Linked DNA regions of Ovis aries. The protein of the gene in region 2 purifies or fractionates together with the protein of the main gene of each other region. This does not show direct contact. Links are inferred from orthologs where the notes say so. Each region holds a gene or a part of one and is shown on either strand. Other genes may lie near its edges.

Region 1 (3,647 bases), on a different chromosome or scaffold from region 2:
GTGACTGACGGCCATGGCAGGTGTGGTGATGGCCTGGGTGGAGAGGAACATCAGAGTGAGGACAGAGCGTGAATTCGGAAGATAGTACTGACACCCAGTCACTGCCTTTAATGACAACTGGGCTCTGGCATGATCACCAAGGTGTGCAACTGTTCCCCCTACCTAATTTCAGGACATTTTCACCCTCCTGAAAAGAAACCCTGCCGGGCAGGGGTCACTGCCCATACTCCCCTCCCCAGCCATCCACTCCTCCACTTCAATTCTTGTTGGACTTGCCTGCTCTGGACATTTCATATGAATGGCTCTTTTTCCCCCTACTTGGCTGTGCTGTGTAGCTCATGGACTCTCAGTTCCCTGACCAGGGGTTAAACCCAGGCCCTTGGCAGTGAGAGCATGGAATCCTAACCACTGGAGTGCCAGAAGTTCCCGTAAATGGCTTCACAGGGTCTTATGTGAGCAGCTTCACCGTGACACTTCCAGGGCACACACTGAAATAACCTGTGTCACAACCTATTCTGTTTCAGGCAAACGGTGCTCCACTTAAACAGAGACCACCTCGGTGGGTGGGCATCTGGCCGCACGGCTCCCACTGCCGAGGACATGCACATGTGTGTCTAGGTGGATGTCTGCTGTCACTTCTCTCAGGTGCAACCCTGGGAATGAAAGTGCTGGGTCACATGGAGGTTTTAGGTGTAACCTTTTGAGGAACCCCACACCCCTGTCAGCAGCCAGCACCCCATCACAAGAGCCTGCTGTGTGACGTGGTGCCACACCATGGCTCTGAGCTGCATTTCCCTTTTGATCAAGGCTTCTGGCCATCTGGATATATTCTCTGAAGAAATGTCTATTCAAATCTGTGGCCTGTTTTAAAACTTCAGGGCTTGTACTGTTGAATTTCTCACAGCTCTGCACATTCCGGATGTGAGTCTCTTTTCAGAAACATCACCTGCAAGTATTTCCTCCTATTCTGCGGCTGCCTTTCTACATTCTTTCACATGGATTCATGAAGGTTAAGAATCCAAATCTATCACCCCAATCAGCCCAAATGTCCCGAACAAAATCCAAGCCCCTGGGCCTTTAAGGCCGTTCTGAGTTATTCCACAGAAACACTCCTGTAAGAGCACGAGGACACAAGCACCGCTTTCACACGAAGCAGCAGAACCTGCTGAAGGGCCTGCCCACCAGGGGCCAGGGAGCACCCAGGGCCACCTGCGCTCGGGGTGAGGTGGACGCAGCTCTCACTCATGTGATGTAATGCTGCGTGATCTGAAGTGTTTCTTTTTTCTTTTCTTTTTTTTTAGCAAGTATATCTTTTGGAATGTTTCAGAAAAGCAGTAAGAAAAGATGCCTGTCTGGTATCAGTCACGTCGCCTGCCCAGCAGAACCTCCAGTCGCCCTGTCCCAGGCCCCAGTAACACTGGTCAGTCCCGCTGACCAAGGCCACGCCCACTCACAGGCATGTGCACATGCTTGCACAGCATCTCAGATACACTCTGAGCTCCTCCAAGGTTCAGAGCACCTCTGATTACCAGAACGTGCGCTCCGAATCAAACTGAACTACTGAACATCTGACGAGTTCATCTTAAAACACTATTTATTCCCAGTCCTGTCTTTTTAGGCCCTGAGCGAGCCTCCAGAAATGCACATCTCATCACAGACACAAAACGGTGGAGGGGAGGCACTTTTTTCTCCGAACTCCTTTATACGTCTGAATTATGAACCAGAAGAATGTCCTACTTATTAAAAGAAGAAACACTTGGGAATTCCCCGACAGTTCAGGGTTAGGGTTCAGTGCTTTCACTGCTATGGCCCAGGGTTTAGTCCTTGCTTGGGGAACTAAGATACTGCAAGCCATGCAGCATGGACCGAAAAAAAAAAGGCAAAAAACTTAACCCAACTTCACACCTCATTTCAGAACAAGAAGACGTGACAAAGATCACTAGGCTCCACAAACATCCAGAGACACACAGAACTCAACCCGCACCAGACAGAATTCGAGTCCCTTCCTGCCTTGGGCCCCTGCCACCAGGCAAGGCACGCCTCTCTGACCACACAGGCTCATACACCCGAGCTGGGGGAGGGACCACCTGCTCGTAGAAGTAGAGTGCCCGCTCGAAGTTCTTCAGTCCGGTGTAGACCATCCCGCCATAGTAGTAGTAGCACAGGAAGTGCTTGGCGTCATAGGCCCCGTTCTCCTTGCAGATGTCCACCATGTCCACATCCAGGTACGGCAGGGCCGGCTTAAAGCACTTTGCCAGCAAACACAGCTGTGGTGAGAGATACATGCCGCCATCACCCCACATGCACTTCGGCACACATCAGCAAAAGGAGAAAACACAGAAGGTTCTAGAAAACGCTTGGCTTTACATCTGACTTGACTAGAATGATTTAAACGTTGACACGTCCATCTTCTTAGGCATTCAGAATAAAACAGCATTTCTTTGGAAAAGGCTAACCGGCTGTGACATGAAGAGCTCACAAGCAAAGCAAAGCCCAGGCATCTACAGATGATGCACGAGTGTGGGCTCTGCTCTCTGCTGCCCTGGTGGCACGGGCACAACTCCTCTCAGACCTCTCCTTGCCTGCTCTGACTCCCTTGGCTATGAGCAGAGAATGTGCAGCCCAAGAAAGCAGGACCGGCAGAGCCCTCGGGCCTGGGTGACAGTGGAACCAGACACACGGGTGTGCAAACACTGCACACCCGAGACTCCTAAACTCTCCCGTGTGCCTGTCACACCTCCACCACAAAGTGTTTCAAGAGAAAAAAAGAGAAAAGAATGCACGCCTCCATGTGAAGTGAGAAGACGCGGTTGAAATAATCCACATCCCATGTTGTTCATCAAGGGAACAATCTGGATACCCCACAGAGACTGGCTAAACCCACAGTATGGAGTTCTCTGTGGCTATAAAGCACTAACACAAAATCATCTCCAGGACACAGTATGTGGGAAAAAGACATTGTATAGATTGCTACTATTTGTGTTTAAACTAGAGAGACAAAAATATACACGTATCTGCTGGTGTGTGCTAAACTGTCTCTGGAGGGCTGCAGGAGAAATGAGCAACTCCAGCTTCCTCCGGAAAGGAGGGATGGGTGGCGGGGGAGCAGGTAGAGGCCAGCTTCATTACACATATCCCTCCTTTGCCATCTGGGTTTCGAGTCACACAAAATAAACAAACAAGTAACATCTTCAGGTGTGAGAACTCACCAGTTGGTTCTCAGGCCCCAGAGCTCCTACTGGGAGTGCTATCAGGGTCACAAGCACCACCCCCAACCCCAAACTGCTCTCACATCCCACTGACTGGCTGGGTGGCAGCCCACAGCTGGTGGTCAGCAGCCCCAACATTCCCTTCCAGCAACAGTGCCGCTTCTGACACTTAAAACATGGCGCCATCCCAACCACGTCCAACCTTGACCCGGGTGGCCGGGCCCCTGGTGCTCACCTGGCAGAGGTCGGCATGCACAGAGGTCAGCTGGTTTGTGTTCATCTGCATCTTGTCAATGGCTTGCCTGAGGACGCCAATTCCTCGCAGAGGCTGTCAGAAAGAGGCCTGTCAGTTAGGGTCTCAGTGGGGCGGCATGCCTGGTCCTAAGCTGTCCCTTACAAGTGAAAGTAACGCTATAGGCAGGCTCCTCTAAATGAGAG
Region 2 (4,133 bases):
CTAACCAAATATCAGTTGGTGCTGGAAATGAGCCTGGCCCCTCCCAGCTTGGGATGCAGCAAAGCATAAGGCACCAGACACTAGGGTGACCTGCGCCAACTCCATCCAGGAGGGCTTGTCCAGGCTGGAAGAGTCCAGCACCCCACTCCTGGGACAGACCAAGGGATGAGGCCTAAGACGAGCCAGGAGGACAAGGACCAGCCCTGGAGAAAATGTGTGTGTGGGGGGATTCCCTTTCTGCCAGCAGCATCCAGAAGCCCACTGCCCCTCAAACCGCAGTGGTGGCCAACTGGCAGCCTGAGGGTCACCTCTCCCCCATACACTTCTGGATTAAGGAGAAAAGGTGACTCAGAGAAACAGGGAGTGGGGATTGGATCAGAAGTGTGGCCTAACTTAGCCTGCAGGAGGGCACTGGCACCCACTGTCCCCTGGCCTGTCTCACCCAGGACACTAGTGGCCCCTGCCTAACCCTCACCACGCAGGTGGCAGATGGGCACAGAGAACTGGCTGGGCTGGCCCTGGGATGCCTGGTCCTGCCGTTGCTGGGGGTCCGTGGCTGGGACACGGTCCGCAGCCGGTCTGGCCCCACTGCCCTGCTCTCCAGGTGTCCCACAGCAGACAGAGGCAGCTGGGCACTCACTGTCAAACTGCCCGGAGAGCAGGGGGGCTGGGAGGAGGGGTGAGAGTGATCAGGGAGCAGCACTCCCAGGACCGGCCAAGGTCACCAGCCAGTCCTGCCGCCTGGCCCATTAGATAGAGCCCTGGGCTGGGGTAGGGTGGGATCCCCAGGCAGCAGAGATAAGGAAAGGGTGCCCCCTCCCAGAACCAGCAAAAAGGACGGAGGCAGGGCTCCCACCGCCTTGGGGATGCCTATGGCCAGACAGGCGCGGGAAAAAAATCTGTGTAAAAAGTTTGTCTGGACACAAGCCGACCCCCACTTCTCAGAAGCCACCGAGCCTGCAAATCGTGGATGTGTCCTGTGGCACATCCCAGGCGAGTGAGAAAGGGCCAAGTTCGCCCCTGCAGACTGATAAACCGGTGCAAACAATTATTTTTGGCAACCGCAGCTTCGCCCTCCAACAGGGTAAACAAATGGCGTGTTCCGGCCCTAGTAACAGCCTCACGCTAGGAGGAAACCTGCCGGCGGCAGACAGAGCCCTTTCGGAACCCAACTGCTTTTGGTTTTCCGAAGCTAAACCAACGCTGGCCGCCTCCGCCGGTTATCTGAGCCCTCCGGACAGCTAAGAGGGCACAGGGAGAGAGGGGCGCCCCCTTCCGAGGAGGGCCCCGCAGCAGCTGCGAGGGCAGGACGCCCAGCCGCAACGAGCGATCCTGACTTTACCGAAGTCCCCCAAGAGATGCCCAGGACTCTTTCTGGCTGGTCGACTCGGACGGAAGAAAGTAACCGAGAGAAGGGAAGAGGAAGGGAGGGAAGGGGGAAGAAGGGGACCGCCCTGCGGCGCGCGTCCCCACCCAGGAAGCCCGCACTTACTTCTTCACGTTGGCCTCCCCGTTGGGGATCCTCCGCAACTTCTTCTTCTTGAGGATTTTGACGGCTCTTCTGCACAATGTCTCCGAGTCCAGCACCTCCTTCACCTTGCCGTACGACCCCTCCCCCAGCAGGTCCCCCATCAGGTACTTTCCGATGAGCTTGGCCCGCTTGCGGCGGGGCTGGTAGATGACCTCGGTGGAGTCGATCCGGTGGATGAATGTGTCCATCCCCACCGACATCAGCTCGCCCTCTGTAAACATACCCAGTTGCTGCGGGTCCGCCACCTCCATCCTGAACTCCAGGCCTCCGACTCCGGCAGGCGGTCCCTTATCCCCTTTGTGAACTTCACGGGGAGCGAGCGGTTCTTCCTTTTGTTTCTCCCCACCTCCGTCCCACCTCAAAATTCCCTTCTCCAAAATATAAAGTCAACAAAATCGAAAAAATAAGAGAGGAAAAAAATAATAATAATAAAGGAAAACCCTCTTGGAAAAGAAACGATTGTACTGAACGTAAGTTCAAAAGGCGCGGCTGGTCCAGAGCCCGGGCAGGCGGGCGTGCGCAGCGTCCCAAGTTTGGGGGCCGCCCGACCTCGGAGCTTTGGGGCGGGCAGGCGCGTCCACGGGGGCCCTCGGGAGGCCGGTGGGGCTGGGAAGTGCTAGGTCATCCTCCAGGGACTTTAGACCCTCGAACGAACACGGACGCGGCCGGGCCGAGTCTTCTCCGCTCCGTCCATTACCAGCGGGCCATGGCGCGCGCCCGGGGCCCCGCGCAGGCCAGCTCTGGGGCTCCCGGAGCTGGGCAGGTGAGCTTTGCCGGGAGCAGGGCGCGCAGCTCGGGGGCGTCTCCCGCCGTCTGGGGCGCCTGAGACGCCAGCAGGTGCGTATCCTGAGCGCGCGGGGCACCTTCGTCCAGCTCGGCCGGCTCCCGCCAGCGCCGGAGCTGCCCGGGGCCCGCCGGCTGCAAAGAGTAAGGCTCGTCCGAACCAGCCGCCGCTCGGGCGCCCGCACACCGGCCCGGGACACCAAGCGACCGCGCGGGCCCGGCGGGCGCCCCGCCCCAAACGGCAGCCCTCGATCGCTCTCCGCCCGAACGCCGTCGGTCGCGGACAGTGGGGCGCGCGGGGCTCCGGGCAGCCCAGGCGGCGCAGGCCGCAGGCCCCGGACCGGGGTTCCCGGGGCTGCCGGGGCCCGGGCGGCGCGTATCGCGCCGCGGCCGCCGCGCGCGTGGAGCAGGCGGGGCGGCGCGGGGGCCCAGCCCATGCAAGGCGGCCGCTCTGCCGGCCGGCGCCCGCCGCCGCTACCGCCGCGCCCCGCCTCAGTCGCGGGCGCCCCGGGCCTCCTCCCCCTTCCGCGCCCGACACGCCGCCGCCATCTTGTTTACCTCCTCCCCCGCCCTGCGCCGCCTCTCCGCCGCACGCCCGCCGCGGGCCCGCCCCCCGCGGCGCCGACGTGCACGCCCGTTGGCCAAACCTACCAGCACCGCCCCCACAGCGAACCCTACCGCCACCGCCCATTGGGCCATTTGGACCCGGGCGGGCCCCGGAGCGGGGATTGGTTCTCGTTCGGCCCCGTCCCAGGGGTGGTTACTGCTCGCTCATTGGCCCGCGGAGACGCCCGTCAAGTGGAGGGGGCGGGAAGCAGGCGCTGGGAGGTGAGGCTGTGGCGTTGACCTGGGAGGGGTTGAAGGCTGGGGTTGGAGTTCGCAAAGGCCGAGGGTCACCTCGGAACCGGGAGTCGGGGCAGCGCAGCCCTCGCTGGCCCGGATGCGGCTAACAGATGCTGGTGGGCGCCTGCTAGGGCCTGTCCCCCGAAATCTCGTTTGAAGCGAGGTCAAGGGTCAAAAAGTAGCCGAAAGTGGCCAATTGAAGGCAGAAAGCCTTTATTAAGCGTTTCTCAGGCCAGACGGGGCGAGAAGTGCGTTGGACCGTCTCTACCCTAAAGAATCTCACGGGGCATAGTGCCAGCAAAGTGCTTTGGATGAAAAATACAGAGATGGTAAAATACTAGGGCTTGATGAAATTGAAAATTCCTCCGGGCCTGTGGGGTTTTTCTACCTGTCTGTTTTTTATCACTTTTTATTTTGCCAGAACAAACTGCTTGTCTGACACCATCAGATTTGGGCTCCAGGCTGCGAGTTTTGAGCCTGACACCTGTGGACTGCCTAAATCTATGCGTGAAATTGAGTGTGTCCTTGTGTGTGTTCTTGGGGACATCTAGGACTTTCATCAGATTCTCAAAAGACCCACAGAAAGCGGATTGCTGTGGCTTTGGGGGCGGGGGGACCACAAATCACACCAACATACAAGCCAGCCCTAATCAAAACATGTAGATTAGCCCCAAATTCCTTTTCCTTAATCATAAACAGCAGAGCAGAAACCAATGAAACAGAATAGACAAAAAAAAAACACAAGGAAAACTGATGAAGCCAAAAGACTGTTCATTGAAAGGATCAAAACAACTGTTAAAACTGTCCAGACTAACCAAGAAAACTAGGTGACCTAAAAGGATTAGATATAGGAACAACTCTATGCCCAAAATTCAATAGGAAATAGACCAACACCTGAAAAGTCACTAAAATGAAAACTCAATGAAGAAGAAACAGATAATCTGCATAGTCTTATATCTATTAGAGAAATTAAATC

The links. The genes of interacting proteins can lie anywhere in the genome.
Region 1: the proteins of STK11 (region 2) and COPS3 purify together in Homo sapiens (affinity purification with mass spectrometry; 5 studies listed by BioGRID and IntAct, with this or other methods). This does not show direct contact. The link is inferred for Ovis aries from reciprocal best matches to the Homo sapiens genes STK11 and COPS3.

Annotation. Positions count from the first base shown.
Region 1 is NC_056064.1:34,640,621-34,644,267, reverse strand, and holds part of COPS3 (COP9 signalosome complex subunit 3), read right to left. Parts: intron 3,538-3,647; coding exon 3,445-3,537; intron 2,268-3,444; coding exon 2,088-2,267; intron 34-2,087; coding exon 1-33. UniProt on the Homo sapiens protein: Component of the COP9 signalosome complex (CSN), a complex involved in various cellular and developmental processes.
Region 2 is NC_056058.1:41,329,465-41,333,597, reverse strand, and holds the start of STK11 (serine/threonine-protein kinase STK11), read right to left. Parts: upstream 2,871-4,133; 5' UTR 1,783-2,870; coding exon 1,493-1,782; intron 1-1,492. UniProt on the Homo sapiens protein: Tumor suppressor serine/threonine-protein kinase that controls the activity of AMP-activated protein kinase (AMPK) family members, thereby playing a role in various processes such as cell metabolism, cell polarity, apoptosis and DNA damage response.